3 linked regions of the Arabidopsis thaliana genome follow. The protein of the gene in region 1 purifies or fractionates together with the protein of each later gene. This does not show direct contact. Each region holds a gene or a part of one and is shown on either strand. Other genes may lie near its edges.

Evidence for each region. The genes of interacting proteins can lie anywhere in the genome.
Region 2: the proteins of AT2G16365 (region 1) and TZP purify together in Arabidopsis thaliana (affinity purification with mass spectrometry, with the first as the bait; one study listed by BioGRID). This does not show direct contact.
Region 3: the proteins of AT2G16365 (region 1) and PCL1 purify together in Arabidopsis thaliana (affinity purification with mass spectrometry, with the first as the bait; one study listed by BioGRID). This does not show direct contact.

The regions. Positions count from the first base shown.
Region 1 is NC_003071.7:7,072,668-7,080,031, forward strand, and holds AT2G16365 (F-box family protein), read left to right. Parts: upstream 1-1,694; 5' UTR 1,695-1,779; exon of another isoform or gene 1,780-1,935; intron 1,936-1,984; exon of another isoform or gene 1,985-2,227; 5' UTR 2,228-2,272; coding exon 2,273-2,989; intron 2,990-3,071; coding exon 3,072-3,718; coding exon of another isoform or gene 3,719-3,722; exon of another isoform or gene 3,723-3,982; intron 3,983-4,045; coding exon of another isoform or gene 4,046-4,162; intron 4,163-4,318; coding exon of another isoform or gene 4,319-4,453; intron 4,454-4,565; coding exon of another isoform or gene 4,566-4,643; intron 4,644-5,150; coding exon 5,151-5,613; intron 5,614-6,004; coding exon 6,005-6,514; 3' UTR 6,515-6,852; downstream 6,853-7,364. Other genes in the region: AT2G16340 (uncharacterized protein), read left to right, coding at 467-511, 578-817. UniProt on the Arabidopsis thaliana protein: Together with PCHL, regulates growth and development adaptation to the ambient environment by controlling negatively phytochrome B (phyB) dark reversion, a temperature-dependent thermal relaxation process during which phyB reverts from the active to the inactive state.
Region 2 is NC_003076.8:17,525,159-17,531,128, reverse strand, and holds TZP (zinc knuckle (CCHC-type) family protein), read right to left. Parts: upstream 4,401-5,970; 5' UTR 4,270-4,400; exon of another isoform or gene 3,889-4,269; 5' UTR 3,869-3,888; coding exon 3,535-3,868; intron 3,453-3,534; coding exon 3,345-3,452; intron 3,236-3,344; coding exon 1,540-3,235; intron 1,460-1,539; coding exon 1,344-1,459; intron 1,261-1,343; coding exon 1,142-1,260; intron 1,045-1,141; coding exon 922-1,044; 3' UTR 524-921; downstream 1-523.
Region 3 is NC_003074.8:17,181,114-17,185,877, forward strand, and holds PCL1 (Homeodomain-like superfamily protein), read left to right. Parts: upstream 1-1,956; 5' UTR 1,957-2,134; coding exon 2,135-3,008; coding exon of another isoform or gene 3,009-3,106; exon of another isoform or gene 3,107-3,773; intron 3,774-3,775; coding exon 3,776-3,876; 3' UTR 3,877-3,938; exon of another isoform or gene 3,939-4,072; 3' UTR 4,073-4,241; downstream 4,242-4,764. Other genes in the region: AT3G46630 (DCL protein (DUF3223)), read right to left, coding at 25-195, 384-498, 896-1,233; AT3G46650 (UDP-Glycosyltransferase superfamily protein), read right to left, coding at 4,448-4,667. UniProt on the Arabidopsis thaliana protein: Transcription factor that is essential for the generation of the circadian clock oscillation. Is necessary for activation of CCA1 and LHY expression.

The sequences.
Region 1 (7,364 bases):
AATTATGTACTACTAATCGTTTTATGTATGTTTATGTCATGTATGTTTAAACTTTGATATCATGTATGTTTCAAATTTTATGAATTGCAATAATTATTAAAATTTTTAAAAATCAAATGTTTATATATTTTTTAAAAACCTCAACTTAAGAGCTTACGATTGGACATTGCCAAACATTTAAACTTTTATCCAAACTTTTAACTTCAAAACTTTCAAATCAATTATAAAAATATTGCTAAGAATCTTTGCTAAGAATTCACCATTATAGATTCTCTAACAAATCTTGGCATAATCATTATTATTAAAAAAAACTTTTTGTAGAGTTCTTGTTTTTTCCTTTATAATTTACTTTTCTTTCTCTTTTTCTTTTTTTTTGGCAGAATTTAACAATTTTTTAATAAAAATTTAAAAATATAGCACTATATATGTATCAGTTAACTAACATAAAAGATAAATTAAATGACCAATGGAGGAGGTGACGGCTCCGACGATGGTGGCTCCAACGATGGTGGTAAGTTCGGCAACAGTGTGAATCTAGTGAGGACATGCGGTGGATCCGGCGAGTGGTTCTCGCGAGGATGGTGGCTTGGAGGACGGCGATGGTGGTGAGGACACTGGTAGCTCCGGCGAGGGCAGTGGTTCCAATGAAGATGGTGGCTTGGAGTTGGAGGACTGCGGTAGTGGTGATGAAGATGACGGCGGTAGTGGTGGTTCCGCCGATAGCGAAACTGTGGTGGTGATGGTTGTTGTGGTGGTGGTTAATGGTGATAGTAGGGAGGATAAAATTGTCATATTATATATTATACATCAACTCTAATATAAACTTTATTGTATAGGTTAGTTTCCTCATCATTTGCTATTGCAAGTTATTTCTCTCTCTAAAGATTTGATGTAATTTAATGCTTACTTAGCCATTTTGCACGACGCAAATAAACTAATACCGCAAAATTCGTGATTACGCAAATAACATTATCTAAATGGCCAAAAATAACTCATCCCATCTCTTCTTTTTTTTTTTTTTTTGGTCTAAAACTCATTCAATCTCTTCTACACTTGCATTTTCTAATTACTGAACAATAAACTGCTTCATACAACATAATTTTAAATATGTTTCGTTTGAGATAAATTGTTCGACATTACTAAAGATTTTGGCTGATCAAAAAATTTATCAACCTTTACCACGATTCAATTGCCTAGTCATAGGCACGAAGACTCTTGTTTTCGTTTACAAGCATTTGAATGCTAAAAGTACATAGCCGTCTTTGGAGACATGATCTAATAAAAAAAGATCTACGTTGACGTATAGAAAACACATTGATTAAAGAAAGATATCTCTTAAACTTTATGGGCAAGAAGAAGATATTTTTATAACCTGATAGACACACATGGCAAAATTAAAAATATCTAGATATATGTACAGTTAATGTTCTTGATATTATTGTGCCCATTTGCATTAGACATGGCACAAAAATGAACACGTCATTTTTCAACTAAAATAACTTTTCAACTTATTAAAAAATTCGAAGATAACTATAATTCGTCGATGCCTATACGAAATACGAGGTTCTTTTTAACACCTTCTTTGGACAATAGATATTGAGATTTACATCTTCTGCTCTTTCCGACAAAAGCCCATCTCTTCTGTCTTATTTTCTTCTGAAGGTTCTGTTTTTTTTTTTTTTTTTTTTTTTTTTCTCATCCAAATAAGTACTTGAGAGAATTATAAGAAAATTCGTACTTCGTTTCTTTGGACAGTGTACCTCCACGTATTCGTCTCTGGTAATAATCTCCATCACAAATCTCTTTTTTTTTTCTTTTGTGTGACTCTTGTTTCTGGTGGTACAGTTTGCTCATCGATTGAATCGATTTGTATTTCTTCCACACAAGAAAAATGGATTTGTACTTGTTTCTGGATTTTATATATCTGGTGTAATTGTAAGTATAAATTTGTGGAATTAGCTTCTTTTTTTTTTTTTTTTTTTTGGAGAATTTACTGAAAAAGAATGTGATCCTAGTTTATCAAAAAAAGAATAAGAATGTGATCCTCCTCACATTTGTTTGATGAAACTTTTTGTGTTCTTTAGGTTTAATTCTGAGGTTGTGTGAAATTTGGTGAAGAGAATTTTGAGATCATAGTAATTATCCACTTGCTTGATGCTCATGAGCTCTAGTTTAGTATTGTGTTTGTTTTGAATTATGATTGAGATAAAGGATATTTACTTCTCAGGTGATTTAATCAAAGCCTCTGGAGAAGATCTGTAGGTACGTACAAATGTCTGAACATGTTATGGTTTTGGGTAAAGGTAACAAAGGAATCAGCAAGAATTCTTCAGTCAATCCATATGAATCAGCTTGGTTAGGTCGTTGGACTCAGTCAGGTAGTGAAGTGAAGTTTCATGATGGTGAGACCAATTGCTCTAAGCAGTTGATAAGACCTGAAGATGAGAATCATGGAGTCGAGGTCTTGCCGTTTCCTATGTTCAAGGTTTCTCAAAAGAGAGAGACTACTACTACTACTACTACTAAACCGTCTTTCCATGAAGATGTTGGTTCAAGCTCGAGAGCTATGGTTAATAGAATGCCCTGGATGTATCCGCAAGGAGAGAACTTCAGTTCTAGTAACCGTCTTGACTTCCCAATTCAAGAAAAGACTACTCAAAACTTGCTAGAGTTGATAAGACCGGTGAGGATTTACGCAACGGTTGATTCTGTTAACTTGCCTAAAGAAGATAGTCATCAGTTATTGAAGGGGTCTACAGTTTCCATGAAACTGAAAGGGAAGATTTTTGGTGGATATCTTGATCTGTTTCCTAATCAAGATCACTCCCACAATAGAGGAGGAGTAAGGCTGCAGTCTCTAGAAAGCTCAAAGGATACTCAAGAAGATGGACCGAGAAAAAATGAATCATCGGCAGAGACTAATACCTTAGAAATGGATAGACTTCAGACTATACATCTTTCCGGCTCCATTTCTTCGTCATCAACTAAGGTATTGTTCAATCGACATATCTACATATCTTTACTCAAAATGTTGAAAGTTGTGATTGTGAAAGATGTTGAAAATTCCGCAGGGAAAAGGAATAAAAGGCTACTCAGCCATTCCAAGGACCGAAATACCTGACATGAATGAAGAACCACCTCTTGTTCCGGATAGAGAGAATTCAGTAGATGGACATCAGGGAGAAACAAGCAACTCGGCTACTCAAAGTATGAATGTGGAACACTTTCTGTCCAGAGATTGCAAACGTGTGCGGTTGGAACCAGAAGTAGAAGCCAGCAGTAGATGGGTCAAGCGTCTGAAGACAAGCCCCTCAGATTCCAGTGAAACCAAGAGCATGATGAAGATGAAAGAAGCATCACTGGGAGAAAAAGAGAACAATAATCTATTCCTTGAGATCTTGAAGTCCGGAATCAACAATCTCCAACCGAGAAATCAAGAACCCGTCGTTTCACAGAGCAATGATCTGAGACAAGGAGGAGATGACATTACACTTCTGCATCCATGGATCCAGAGGTGGTGCAAGAAGAAAACTACATCAACAGATCAACCAACAGGGCAAGAAGCTAGCTTTGAGCCAGAGAGTCACAAGGAGTTCGAGAAGAAACAGTATCCGAGTATTGCAGCCATGGCATTGATGGGGAAGGCTCTGAGCGGTTTAAACCCATATGGTCTTAGAAAGACCAACTCTCTCATGGTTTGGAATGCAAGGGATTTGAGGTAGGAAAACAAAACCATCATCCTCATCTTCCCTTGTTTATCATTACAACGTAAAGTCAAGAACATCAAACAGAACTAGCTAGCAGGCTTGCTACGATCAAATATTTTGACAGGTTCTACCTTATATGTCAGTCTGACTATTCTTATAATAGTTTCAGTTTATGTATGAATACCTTGTTTGCATCATAAATATTCCCTTTTAATCGTTACCGCATCAGTATTTTGATTTGTTACTGGCCTTACAAAAATGATAGCATAATTCAAAGTGGTAAGTAAATCTGTTCTCTCGAAAATCTTGATTCAAGGGAAAAAGAGTAACATTTAACATTAAGTCAAGCAAGTAGCCCTAGTGTTAATCTGCTGACTTGAGTGAGTAGAAACCATCCTTATCGTGCCTTTCACCATCAAATCTCTTATCGCCTTTCTAGCAAGCGACCCATTGATCTACGACAGAAACCAATACAACATTTTACACATGATCAAATTCTTGAGCACAATAAAATTTCTCTTTCAATAACTCGATAATCTTGAACCTATCCCAACACATTATAAAGAGCTAATTCAGTGAAAAGAGTGGAGGTAGAGAGTTAGTTAGTTTACCCGAAGACGGTCAGAGAGAATCGAAGGAGTGATCAATTTGAACTTAGGAGCTTCAGACATAAGCTTGTCGTAAGTTGCTTGATCGAACAGAACCATGTTGTTCACCTTCTCCTTTTGCTTTCCTTTGCTCCACTTCTGTTGAAATCAAGAAATGAGAAACGTAAATAAAACAAAACCCACCAGAAACCAAATCAAAGAAACTTACTGATCAAGTAAAAAAAAAAGTGATTGTGATTTGGTAAAGGACCTTCTTTTTCTGCTTTCCGCCACCGGATTTGGCGGGTTTAGAGGATGGTGGTGGGACTTTGTCCTTCTTTGGTGCCTGGAATCAGTCAGAGAAACCACACACGAAATCTGTATGCGACGAATAAAATCAACCATCCGAAATACCTAAAACCTATATAAGCCAAATATTTTTATTTTTATTTTGGTAAGGTTTGTTCGATTTTTTTTTGGTAGGGTCTTGTTCAATTTTATGTAGTAAAATATATTTTTAAATTGTATATTAACTTTATGTTTTATTATATTCCAAACTGGGTTATAACTTATAATTAAATGTAAAAATTTAAATATTTGTGAAATGGAGAAAAGTAAAAATTTATCATGACAGACGTCTTCATTTCCCTTAATCTTAATCTTAACATAGTAAAAATCTCTTTCTTCAATTTATCTATATATAAGATTTTACTTTAGTTATGTTTTAAAATAATAATATACTCTTAATTGGGTTATAAATGTGAAATCTATATATTTTTAAAAGGGAGCAAAATCAAATCTTATTGTGATAAATATATATTTCTTCATTATATATCCTTAACTTTTAATTCTTCAGTTTTACATACAGATCTTTACGGTGGAATTTAACGATGGCAGATTGGCCCTTACTTCCGAATGACTTACTAGAACTAATCATGGGTCATCTTGAGACATCTTTCGAGATTTTCCTCTTCCGTTCCGTCTGCAGCTCATGGCGGTCTGTTGTACCTCCACTAGATCATTCCCGCTGCTTAGGTATCAAAACTCATGATATATCGTTCAATGTCGGCTTTTCGTTCAACGGCCGACCAACGAATGAATATTGCACACTAAAAAAGATTCCAATATATCTCGTGAAATTCTGGACTCCGTTTGGTGATGATTATCTATTGGCAGAGATGCGTGAACGAAATGATGGGGAACCGAAGTTATTGTTGTCGCCCTTGTCATCTAATGGTATCAAGTATGGAATGGGAATAAATAAAGTGTTGTTCAACTCTCTTACCTCACCAATTATCCCATTTGGACAATACTACGAGGTTGGTGTTCAAAAGCTCATATTAGTTTTTGAAACTTTTATCTTTTCTTTTTGATAATCATTTAACCACCACTTTTTAGTTAGTAGGGTGCTTGAGATTGTTACTTATTTCATTGTCTAACTGATTTTGAGGTAAATCAGCTAATGTTTGGAATTCTTTGTGGTATTAATCACGATTCTGTAAATAAATATATACAAGTCACACTATTCATAACTAAGATATATAGGATTTAAACTGATATCAAACCCATCGTATTAGCAGCATGTAATCTTATCTCTAATAAATTCTCTCTAACCTTGCTAATTAATAAATAAGACCGCAAAGTTGGTCCTGTTATTATTATCATTATTTTCCTTGTGTCTTCAATTTAGCCCCATAATCTTCGATGCAGATAACCTACATTGAGAAGCGACCCAGTGAATACCGCTTTGGATTTCCCTATAAACTAGAGTGGGTGGAGATTACCGAGAGAGTTGAATTTCTTAAACTGGATAGTGAAGATAGCAGAGATTTTGCGGTGCTTTTTGCTGGAAGAATGTGCAATTTGGTGATGTATAGAAGCCGTAACATGAGTTGGACTCAAGTTGTGGAGCATCCTGAAAAGTATGCATATCAAGATTTGGTTGCATTCAAAGGAAAGTTTTATGCTGTTGATTCAAGTGGAAGGGGACGGGTCTTTGTTGTCGAACTTTCTTTCGAAGTTACGGAGATCCCCTCAGTCGGAGGATCGCAACAGTCTTCTAAAGAAAGTCTGGTGCAGTCAGGCGAGGAGTTGTTGCTAGTGCAACGGTTCACACCTGTTGGGCGGCGTTATGATGAATATATATATATACATGGTTCAGAGTGTTTAGACTTGATGAAGAAAGAGGAAAGAGAAAGTGGGTTCAAGTTAATGACTTGAACGACCGAGTGATCTTTCTTGGAGCTCAGACGAATCTCTGCTGCTCAGTACATAAGCTCCCAGGTGCAAAGGAGAATTGCATTGTGTTCATTGAATCAAATGATTGTTTCATCATTGACAATGACTCAGTCCTTTTGTTTGACTTAAAAACCAGAAGAACTAGTACTGCGTTTAATGAATGCAAAGGCTACATGGGCGTGTTCGGCGCAAATCTTGAATCTTTATTGTCTTGTGGACTTGTGACCATTCGAGACCCAACGAAAAGCTTTGATTTCTGTTATGATTATAAATATTAGTCTTTTTTTTCTTCTGGATTCCAATATGACAAAACATCTATTAATATATGTTTCGAAACGCTATTATTATATTTAATATATATTATTTGTATAGTTTTCTGATTATATTCTACCAAACAAGGTGCGGTAATCGTCTAGTTTTCATGTTATTTGGGAATCATTCATTGCAATGACAAATTTTTTGTAAGAGCATTGATCAGGTCATACGAAAAAAGCTCCTTTTATTCTGATGCATACAACTTTTTTTGTATTCTGATGCATACACACGTACACAAAAACACATACAAACATGAAGTGATGAAACATAGATAACTTTTTTTATGATAAAAATGAAGATGGCCAATTGCTACATTCATAATAACAGGTGCACGTACGGAATCCATATAGTCCCACGCAACGACCATAATCGTTAGGCCCGACGTATGCCTTCCTACAGTACGCTTTGCAATTATCACATGGTACACCCTTGTTCTCGCGTTGGCACATATAAGAACCTTAAACCCACGGAAGAAAAGAACAAAAAAAAATTTGTTAGACATTTTACAATTTGTTCA
Region 2 (5,970 bases), on another chromosome or scaffold:
TTTAATATATTTGGGCCCATATATTTGGAAAATAAGGCCAAGAGAAAATAAACATATTAAATAAAAAAAATAGCTAGATAACCCAACAATGTATCATTTTCCAGAATTTATTAAGTCTAATTCTCAAAAGTTTGAAGGTCGATTTGATGAATTTTTAATTACTGCAAAGTTCAGGCTAATACAACTATGAACTATCCAAGCAAATAATTAAGTGGTAGTGAATAGTGATCTAGTGTACTTATCTAGCTCTACAAAATATTCATGATTTTTGATAAATTATGATCGGTATTTCAATAGGCTTACCTCATCTACTTTACTTCATGTCAAGGCAACACTGACAAGCATTACAAGACAAACTCCTATAGCACCAAACCATCATACTTTGTCTCAGCTTGCACTAAAATTTCTAAAGCGATTGCTCATGTGAGTGAACCAATTTTCAATTTGGTGACACTTTAAAAACAATATTGTGCAAGCTGTATGCCAAACAACAATGACCATTGCACACTAAATCCAAAATATGTTTTGATATAAAACACCAAACATAAATATGATGTCAAAACAGATTAGTTCATTTAGGACAAATATCAACTTCTATCAAACATACCTCATGAAAAATGAGCAAGACACCACAATATCTCTCTTGATATCAATGTACTTTGTTCTTCCATGATACTTTGATCCTTCACACATAGACTATACAAGCTTAACAATCACAATAAATAGTCATCGAGACATAAAGATCCGAATAAAACTCGCAAATCTAAATAGATTGGACATCCAGTTTTAGATTGTTGTATGGTTTGAGACATTCGATGCCCTCTGAACTAAGAAATTTACACTCTCCTTTTCAACCGAAAAAATACACGGGTAATCGTAAAACCTATAACTTAAAAACATTTATCTACTTGAACAAATGTCCTAAAAGCCTAACATTTTTCTCTGCTGAATTTTCCGACTAAGTTCCTCCGCCGACGGGATGCCGTCGTAGCCGCTTGTTCTGGCACTTTTCCCCGCGCTCTGCCACCAGGCCTTTAACTCCTCCTGCTCAGATAAATTAATGCAAAATATTCAGATGAAAACTTAGCAAATTAGCAAATTTCAAAACTTTTGACATAATTGGTCAAATTTTATTATATACCTCAAGAAAGTCTTGGTTTGAGATAAACTGAGACTCAACAAGGCAAGTCACACCTTTAACCTTAACTGAAATTAAGCTTTTCTCTGAATGTCTCCTTGAGCTTTGTCCCTCTGTGTCCCCTGGTTAAAACAAACATATTTCAGTTGCAAATATTCGAGAAATACGCGAGTTTGAGTATTGATTTATATGAAAGTGTACCAACCATCTATGCGAGCTACATAATACCCTGTTCCTCCAAGCCCTTCTTCCCATTTCCCGAGCCTTAACCGCAAGAAGAACCCTTCGAGACCCGATACAGACTTCTTGGTGTTTATCCATCTGAAATGAAATGTCAAAAGATGTTAAAGCCTCATAATGTGACAAGGGAAACAGTCTTTTAGGTGTGAATTAGATCTTACTTGAGAACGTCTGTGCGGCTCAGGCGAAGCACTTGAACAGCATCAAAGACCGCCCTTGGTACGTCTGTGAAACCACTTATGGGCAGCTTCATGCCAGAGGTAGAAGCTAAAGCGTTCTTCATAGCTCTACCTTCAGCTCCTGAACCATACAGGGGAGCATTCGGGCATGTTGCAGCCCAGTGACTAAGCTGAAAACATCTAATGCATAGACTTGACGCTTCTTCTCTTCCATTCCGCACACTTATGTTCTGTACTAGATCTCTGAGCTCAGTATCAGTTACTTCCAAACAATCCCGTAAACAATGACCCTTTTTACCGCAGTAGAAACAAATTAGATCCCTCTGTTCCTCCTCTGCATTCTCAGCTAAAGAACCTGAGGGCATGATGCTTTTCATTGCTTCTAATCTTCTAGCAAACAAAGAAGCCATTGCTTCTGAAGACTCTATTCTCATTGACGAAACTATAGGAAGGACAGTGTCCGGTTTATCGGGCCCATCTACCGAGCTGATACTGGGTCTTATAACATTCTTGTCTGCCAGCATTTTCCGTGAATCACGGGTTTTAGCTGCGTCTGAGGCTGAAGCATTGGCCTCTTTAGCCGTTTCACTTGCCTTTTTCTGAGGGAACGAACCTTTAGAAGAAAACCGACTAATCCACAAACTTTTAAGACCAGAGTTTCTGTTGGTTAAACATGGACTAACCTTTCCATCAGCTTCACCGCATGTTTTTGGCTCTTCATTTGGCTTAGACTTACTAAGAGACATCAACGAGATGTTTGGCTCTTTGTCCTCACGTTTGTTCTCTGAAGACTGTGTTTTGCTTGTCTGATTAAATACAACTTTTCCTGATGAAATGTTGGGTTCAGCCACTGGACCAATCTCATTACCAGATGAAGACAAGTCATCCCCTTTGGAAATGTCGCAATGTTCAGGAATCCAGGGAAGTTCCTGCAAAGGAGCAGCATTAACATCATTCGGGAAATCCATGTCGACGACATCTTGACTTTGTTTCTTCGGACAATATATAGACTGGAAAAAAGACTGGAAACCGGTGTTTCTGCATCCACTATTTTCCTTCACACAGCATGGACTCAATTGTTGTTGGTCAACGATGGCATTGACTTGGCCATGACCATTAGCATTTGAGGTGGTGGTAAGAGCTACAAAAGGAGAATTGTCTTCTTCATTACCTTTCCAGATTCCTTTAGTCATATTTGATATCCAATTCATGAAGGAACTATCTTGCTTGAGCTTTGAAGTTGACCCCAAACATTCTTGATTTAACGTTTTGAGCCGTTTGCTTCCAAAAATCAGCTGCTCCTCAAAGCCTGGTCTTTTCTTTCCCCTTGAGAGCAAACCCGCACTATTGCAACTTTCTACACTACCAAAACTCTCCTCATCCTCATCTTCACCATCACCACCAAAGTTTTCATCAGATAAAGCTTTCTCTTTCCCTTTTGCTTTCTCACGACGCCTGTAGGAACCACTAGGTCCAGCCTCACCCTCCGGCAAATAGTCCCCTTTACCTTCACATGCTACAACAGCAAGAGTTGCGAGGTTGTTCTCATCCATTGATTCTAAACGATCAACTCTATTATGCGCCTTATCCCCTTCTTCTTGAGATCCAGCACTTTCCATCCTCAACTGTTCATTAACCAACAAGTCTCTGGTTTCTCCTTCCATAGCTTTCGGACTATCTACTCGATAACCAAAACAAGCACAAAAGACGAAGAAACCAACTCAAAATCCATAGTTGTCATAAATGGAAGAGACGCAAACATTATTAACTTGATATAACCATTTTACCTGAAGATCTTTTGGAACATCCTGCTTCTTCATTCTTTATATCATCATTGGTTTCAACCTTATCCTCAACCATTTCAGGTTTCATATCCTCAACAGAACCACCAATCACTGCAAACACACAAGAACTCTCATTATCAAAAAAGATAACTTATCATATAGCAACCTGAAAATGGTCTATTCATTTCATTACTTGCTTGGTTCACTTGATCTCGGTTTCTCAATTCGACATCTACGTGATCTTCTTGGTCTTCAATACTTGTGCTATTTGAGTGAATCGCCATGTTAGTTAGTCCTATATCAAAGAAGTTAGGAGAGAGTAATTTTGCCTTTCCCGTGAAACTGATATCTGCACATCTTAAGCTTAGACCGTTGCTAGGAGACCACACTAATTCTGTTATAGCATCAACAGCAGCAAACTTCATTCTTGCTTCTGCATTTGCAGCACCAGCAGTACCGGAAGAACAACGACGACTCGAAGACGAAACTCCTCCTAACTCTTTACTTTGCTCATCTCCATCTCCCATACCTCCTGAAACCAATCACCCTGAGACATAAAGAACCAGAATCCATACACTATTGACCTCAACCACAAAAATGAATATCACTTAGCTTACAAAACAAGTAACACAAACCCATCAAAAATATGCAAAACAGAGTAATCAAAACACTAGATTTATTTTCTAAGATCATAAACTCATAGAACAACTTAGAGAAGTAATTTGAAATTTCGAGATTTGGAATATTAGGGATAAAGGAAATTGATAACCTATATCTCAAGCAATCACTCAATCTTCAGAATAAAGTTTTGCAATTACTGAAAACCCTAAAATCCATAAAAACTTGAGAATCAAAAACCCAGAAATCTCATAACATAAAAAAATCAAACTTTCAAAGAATTAAAACCAAATTAGAAACCATAAATTACCTCCATGGATATTCAATCATCTACTTCTGCAAATCCTTCACTTACTGAGAAAACGAAAGAGAGAGATGAAGAAGAAGAAGGAAGAAGAAGACGAAGACGACACAGCGCCAAGCGGCTATGGCTAACTTGCTTCAAAAGCTTTTTAATTGCATTTTTGTTACAAGGTCCCCAGACCGCCACGTGTACACATTCTTCTCCATACATTTCCCGCCTCTCAAATATTAAAAACCATATTAAAAAATAAGATTTGCAATATTTCTGATTTTGGCTATAAAACGATAAAATGATATATAGAAGTTAGTGTATAAATAGTAAGATAATGATATCCAAAGATTTGTAGTCATGCGAGATATTTTCTTATCATTCAAATGCAAACATATACATAAATTAATACACTAGTTTTCTTCTTTGCAAATTTCTCTTTTATCCTAAAAATCTTATGAGCCTAGAAATTTTTTATAATAATAATGAAAATTACGTAAATATGTAAATGTAGTTTTTGTTTGAAAAAAAAAGAAAGTATGATGAGTTATGTCTTCTTACGCTGTCAAGTTCTTGTTTGATTCTGTAACTGTACGGCTGCTTTGATATTTTTTTCACTTAGCTTAGAAGAAATTAATATCATATATTTTAAAAAATTCTATTTAAAATAATTTAATGTTGATGGCATAACATTGATGTATATGTTTTACCAAGAAAAACATTGATGTATATGCCAATCTTAATCATGTATAAGTCCCATGGGTATATAGGCCACATGTTTGGGTCTTTTCTTCTTTCCATTAACGTCGGTCTATCTTTTTTTTTCATAAATAACTTCTTCTTTTTTTTGGATTTTTCCGTTCTTTAGCCTTGTTTTTGACTATCTAAAACATGGTATGATTTCCAATTTTGGGTTGGTTTTTTTTTTTTTTTTACTACATTGTTGGGTTAGTTTGAAAGAGCATTTGATTTGAGTCTATAAAATGAAGATTATGAGCTTTCATGTTACAATTAATGAACAATGAGAAAATAGAAATATCAAATGATTTTATTTATTTCAATGTTTTTAATAAATTACGGGTTTTTACCCCAAACTCAGTTGTCGGATAGTAAATTAGTTGGTCTAAAATATCTCGAATCAAATTTTATTGCCGAATCGAAAACATATCTTATTTGAGTTATTCTAGTTTGGTTCAATAATCTGAGCTTAATGTTAATAGTTGAACTCGCTTTGTGTGTCTCCGTCGTATCATTTTGTAGGTGGTCGTCAAAAGATTTTACTTCTTTTTGTAATTGTATTTTACAGTTGTAGTTCAATAACCATGCGAGATTTAGAGAATATTAATAAATATTTTAATTTATAAAACGAAATAAATATTTTTCTTCTTTTTGTAATTGAACAAAAGAACATTTCTATAACGATTATTTTAATAAATATATATGTAGATAAGATTATTCTATTAATTATCTCTATATTTATTTTTTTGGTCATATCTGTGTTTTTCTTAAACAATTAACTGAAGTTTTGAATGTTGTAGGTATTTTTCGTCTGCAACAACAAATTTGAAGATATAACCTAGATATATATATATATATATGGAGACTAATTAATTTATATATCTACAACATGCCAACCTTATGCAATAGATTCCTTAATTTCTTATGATCCAAAAAATAAAGAAGAAGAAGAAGGGAAAAAAAAAGAAAACAATGAAACAG
Region 3 (4,764 bases), on another chromosome or scaffold:
TGAGTGGGACAGTTATACAGATTTTTAGCTACTAGCACGCTTAAAATGTTCACGAATAAACCTCTCAGCGTGAGACGGGTACTTATCTCGAACATAGGCTCGAAGACACTTTTGGTACGAGAAATCTATCCATCCACCATCTGTTCTCACAACAAAGAGGCATCTTGAGTGCCTGAATTGTGGATGCCGATCAACCTGCCAGTAACAAAGTAGCACACTCATAAGTCCATGCACATAAAGCAAATGAAGATTTATGGATAGAGCATGTAAGTAAGTCATATATCTATCATGGTGATTCGAGAACTATGCACAATACCTCAAGATAATTTCTATATGAGTAGAGCTTAAAGAGAGAGATATCGGGTTAGCTCGAATTTACGTACCATTATAAAATCAAGACCACAACCAATTTTGTCTTTGGAATATGGGTGATAAGGAAGAAGCTTTTCCATGACAATTTTCTCATCCTCAAAATCTAAGCGTTCTCCATCCAAATACCTGCTTACCAAAAAGGAAAAAAAAAACAGCTCACTAGAACTGCAAAAAGTAATCTACACAAAGAAAACAGCAAGTATGCTCTGAAGCTAGCTTCAAATGTCAATAGTTCACTAGAAAAAAGTTGTAATTTGCCTAATGTTCAAGTAAACTGAAGATATATACAAGAGCATCTCTCACTTTCTGCAATGACCACTATAATCCTATCATCCATTGCTAAAGGATCCTCAACAATAAGCCAAGAATATCATCATGTGTAATAGTCACCTCAAAAGGCCATATGGTGTCTCTATGTTGTTTGATTAAGCTACTGGAAGAAGCTATGAGCCTATACCTTCAATACTAATCCAAACATGGAACAGCTATTGAAGAACAATCAGCAAGAATTTGAAGAAATTACCTATCGGAATGAAGAATTTCTTTAGCGAGAAGAGAAATAGGTTCAATATCTCGAAGAATCTCAGCCTCTAGATTCTTCCATTTCCGATAATCAGGATCTTCATAACGCCAGCTATTATCAACAACAGGCGATGTCACGTTCATCGCCGCCGCGCCGGATCCCTCCACCGGAGAAACAGAATCATTATTCTCGTAAAACTGTGGTCTATCAGCAAGAGAACACAACAAACGCCGACGGTGACTGAGAATTCCACCAGCTACGATACCAACTTGATGACGATGGTTGAGAAATCCGTTGCGGAGAAGCGGAAGCGTTCTGAGAAGAAGTAGCGAGGTCATCGACCACAATCAAGGAGTAATATAGACAATAATAACGAATAAAACCCTAATCTGTACTAATCACTCGAAGAAGATGAAAAATTGGGGAAATCTCAGAGAATCAGAAATTTGAGAAGAAGATAACGTTTCGTCAGTTTGTGAAGTTGGGGCATCGAACCCGTGACGTTGAAGAAGCTAAACAGAGTAACTAAACCTCTCTGAGCCTTTCCACAATAATTATTTTCATTTTCTTAAAAGTTAGGTGCCAGCCAATCTGTGCCGTTAGATTGATCTTTATATGCTTCTATAAATATCTAAAACAACAATCCAACGGTGGAAAGATCACATTGCGTGTCAGTACTGTAGATACTCATCACCGAATCTTTCTCCTCTTTTCACTCTCCAGCTGGCCGAACCCACCGGTTTTGCCCACTTTCTCTCTAGGCCCGCAAACACAACTTGCTAAGTCGGTAGTAATTTACTGAAAAACCCTCACAAATAGCTGACTTGGCTCTTTTCACTCCACGTGGCTCCATCTTACGTGCCTAGTTTGGTAATTTCAATTTCAATCACCTAGATCGTAACTATTGATACATAATGTGAACTGATGACGTGTTGAAAAGAGATTGGTTAGGTCGGTTTGAAAAGATATTTAGAAGATCTAAAATATCTAGCTAACTCGTCCACGTTGGAATTAAAATATTGCGCTTTTTCCTGGAAAAGAAAAATATAAAACAAGTGATAATCTTCTCTTTTTCGAAATTGTTTCACTTCTGAAAAAAAAAAAAAAAAAAATTGTTTGCTCATCATCTTCACAAACCAAACTTCTCTTCTTCTCCGATCTCAGATTTGAATTTTTATCGATTTTGAGCTTCGAAGAGCTCAATCTCTAACTGAATTTCGAGAAATTAGAGAGTTTGAAATGGGAGAGGAAGTACAAATGAGCGATTACGATGTTTCCGGCGACGGAGATAGGGTTTCTGAATGGGAGATGGGATTACCAAGCGACGAAGATCTAGCATCTCTTTCTTACTCTCTGATTCCACCGAATTTGGCGATGGCGTTTAGTATCACACCGGAGAGAAGCCGTACGATTCAGGATGTGAATCGTGCATCGGAGACGACGCTCTCGTCGCTACGTGGTGGATCTTCAGGTCCAAATACCTCGTCGTCGAATAATAACGTGGAGGAGGAAGATCGAGTTGGATCTAGCAGTCCTGGATCGGATTCGAAGAAGCAAAAGACATCAAACGGTGATGGAGATGACGGTGGCGGTGTGGATCCGGATTCGGCGATGGCGGCGGAAGAAGGAGATTCAGGAACTGAAGATCTATCTGGGAAAACACTTAAACGACCGCGTTTAGTGTGGACACCGCAGCTACACAAGAGATTCGTTGACGTTGTAGCTCACTTAGGGATCAAAAACGCTGTTCCGAAGACGATTATGCAGCTGATGAACGTTGAAGGATTAACTCGTGAGAACGTTGCGTCTCATCTTCAAAAGTATAGGCTTTACCTCAAAAGGATGCAGGGATTGACTAATGAAGGTCCCTCTGCTTCGGATAAGCTCTTCTCTTCAACACCTGTTCCTCCACAGAGCTTCCAAGATATCGGTGGCGGTGGCGGTAGCAGCGGTAATGTTGGAGTGCCGATTCCGGGGGCGTATGGAACGCAACAGATGATGCAGATGCCAGTTTATGCACATCATATGGGTATGCAAGGATATCATCATCAAAATCATAATCATGATCCTTATCATCAGAATCATCGTCATCATCATGGAGCTGGTGGAAATGGTGCGTTTGAGTCAAATCCTTATATGATGCAGCAGAATAAGTTTGGATCCATGGCTTCTTATCCTTCTGTTGGAGGTGGAAGCGCAAATGAGAATTAAAAAGAGTCTATAGATGGATTCAATGGGGGAGGAAGAGATAGGTGAGCTTGTTATTGCTCGTGGAACTGATAATTATTGTCAAGTTTCTGTTTTTTTAAGTACAGTACAGTTATAATTCTTACTCGATTTGATCGAAATTTTCATCAAGTTTCTGTCTTTTACTATAAATGGTATACAATAAAGTCTTAATAATCACTTGTTTGGTGATGTTGACAGAGTTAATATAATCAACTAAGTTGAATTTGATTTTGAGATTCTTGTGCTATGTTGAAATGTTATTGAGAATTAAGTATCAAAATTGCTCTCATGTGACTTGAGACTTAATGTAATCCAGATCATGTTTGATTCATCTTCGGAATTATATGGTGGTTTTGAAAACCATGTGTTTAATTTTCTCTTCGGGACTAGGTAACTAACACTGTGAGTTATGTCAAATCCAAGAGAGCATATGTGTCATGTGGCTCGACATTTTCTTGTGTACTCTTTTTGCAGAAGTGATAGTGTCATGTTATTTTGGTTTTGGTTTCCTCATTGGGAAAGTCTTGTGATGTTTTTTGATCTAGACAAGATATTACCTGTGCAAGCTTTTAGGTAGAATGAGCAGTTTCTCTTTTATGTTTGGGTTCTGCATCTTTTGCAGGTCTTGATCATATTTGATTGTTGTTACAGGTTCTTGGTGTCTACAAAATTTCTTATCTTTTGCGGAGTTTTCCACCGCAAAGTCCCAAATTGCATCTGTTCAGGAGAGGATCATACAAAGTATCATGTAGAAGCTAAACCAAGAGAAGACTGCAGACAAATTTCATATACTCATTTTTCTATCTTGTAAGAGGTAAGTCCCTTTGTTTTATTTGTCTGCAGACTTCTTAAAGTGGTAATCAAGAGAGTGAATTGTTTATTTCTGTGAGAGATGGCGTCAGACACAAACTTTATTTTAAAAATTTATAAACCAATCAAATGTTTCAGAAGAAGCCATTTTAATACAATCAAGTATTCCTCATATGATGACCTTACGAGTGATTGGAGAGCCACATACCAATGAACGTCCAACAAAAGGAAGAAAGTGACATTTTAACAAAAGCAAAAGTCTTTCCAATGTTTCTTGCTGACATAGGTTTCAGCCACTTAGGGTTCTACTTTGAGATTTAGATAATAATTTCAAGACCTTTTCATCTCCAATATATGTTCATAATTTTCATTAATATATGATTGTTTCTCTGCACATCATACATTCAGTGACAACCTTATCTTCAGACCTTGATTATCTTATTTAATAGTAGCGAGATTCTTCTAGAATAGAAAAGTACATAGATTTCTTAACATCCACACAAGTAATTGTCTTCATAGAGTCATCATGAAGTGTTCAAACTCCTTTAGCGAGTTGTGTAAAGAACCTCCACCTCTAACAGAGGCTCTCAGCTCCTCCTTCAAAGTGACGGCTCTCTTTCTCATTTCCTCTCCTTCTTCGAAAACCGTTAACCTCTTCACAGCTCTCTCGACCGCTCCTCTTTCTAGATCACCCTCCACTTGAATCCCAATTTTCCAAACACACTCCAAGTACCTTGCGTTCACCCGAAAATGGCCTGCAAATCACCGGAACTCCTTCGCTGATCATGTTTTCTAGTATCGAGTTGCATCCTTTATGGCTCCAAAACGCC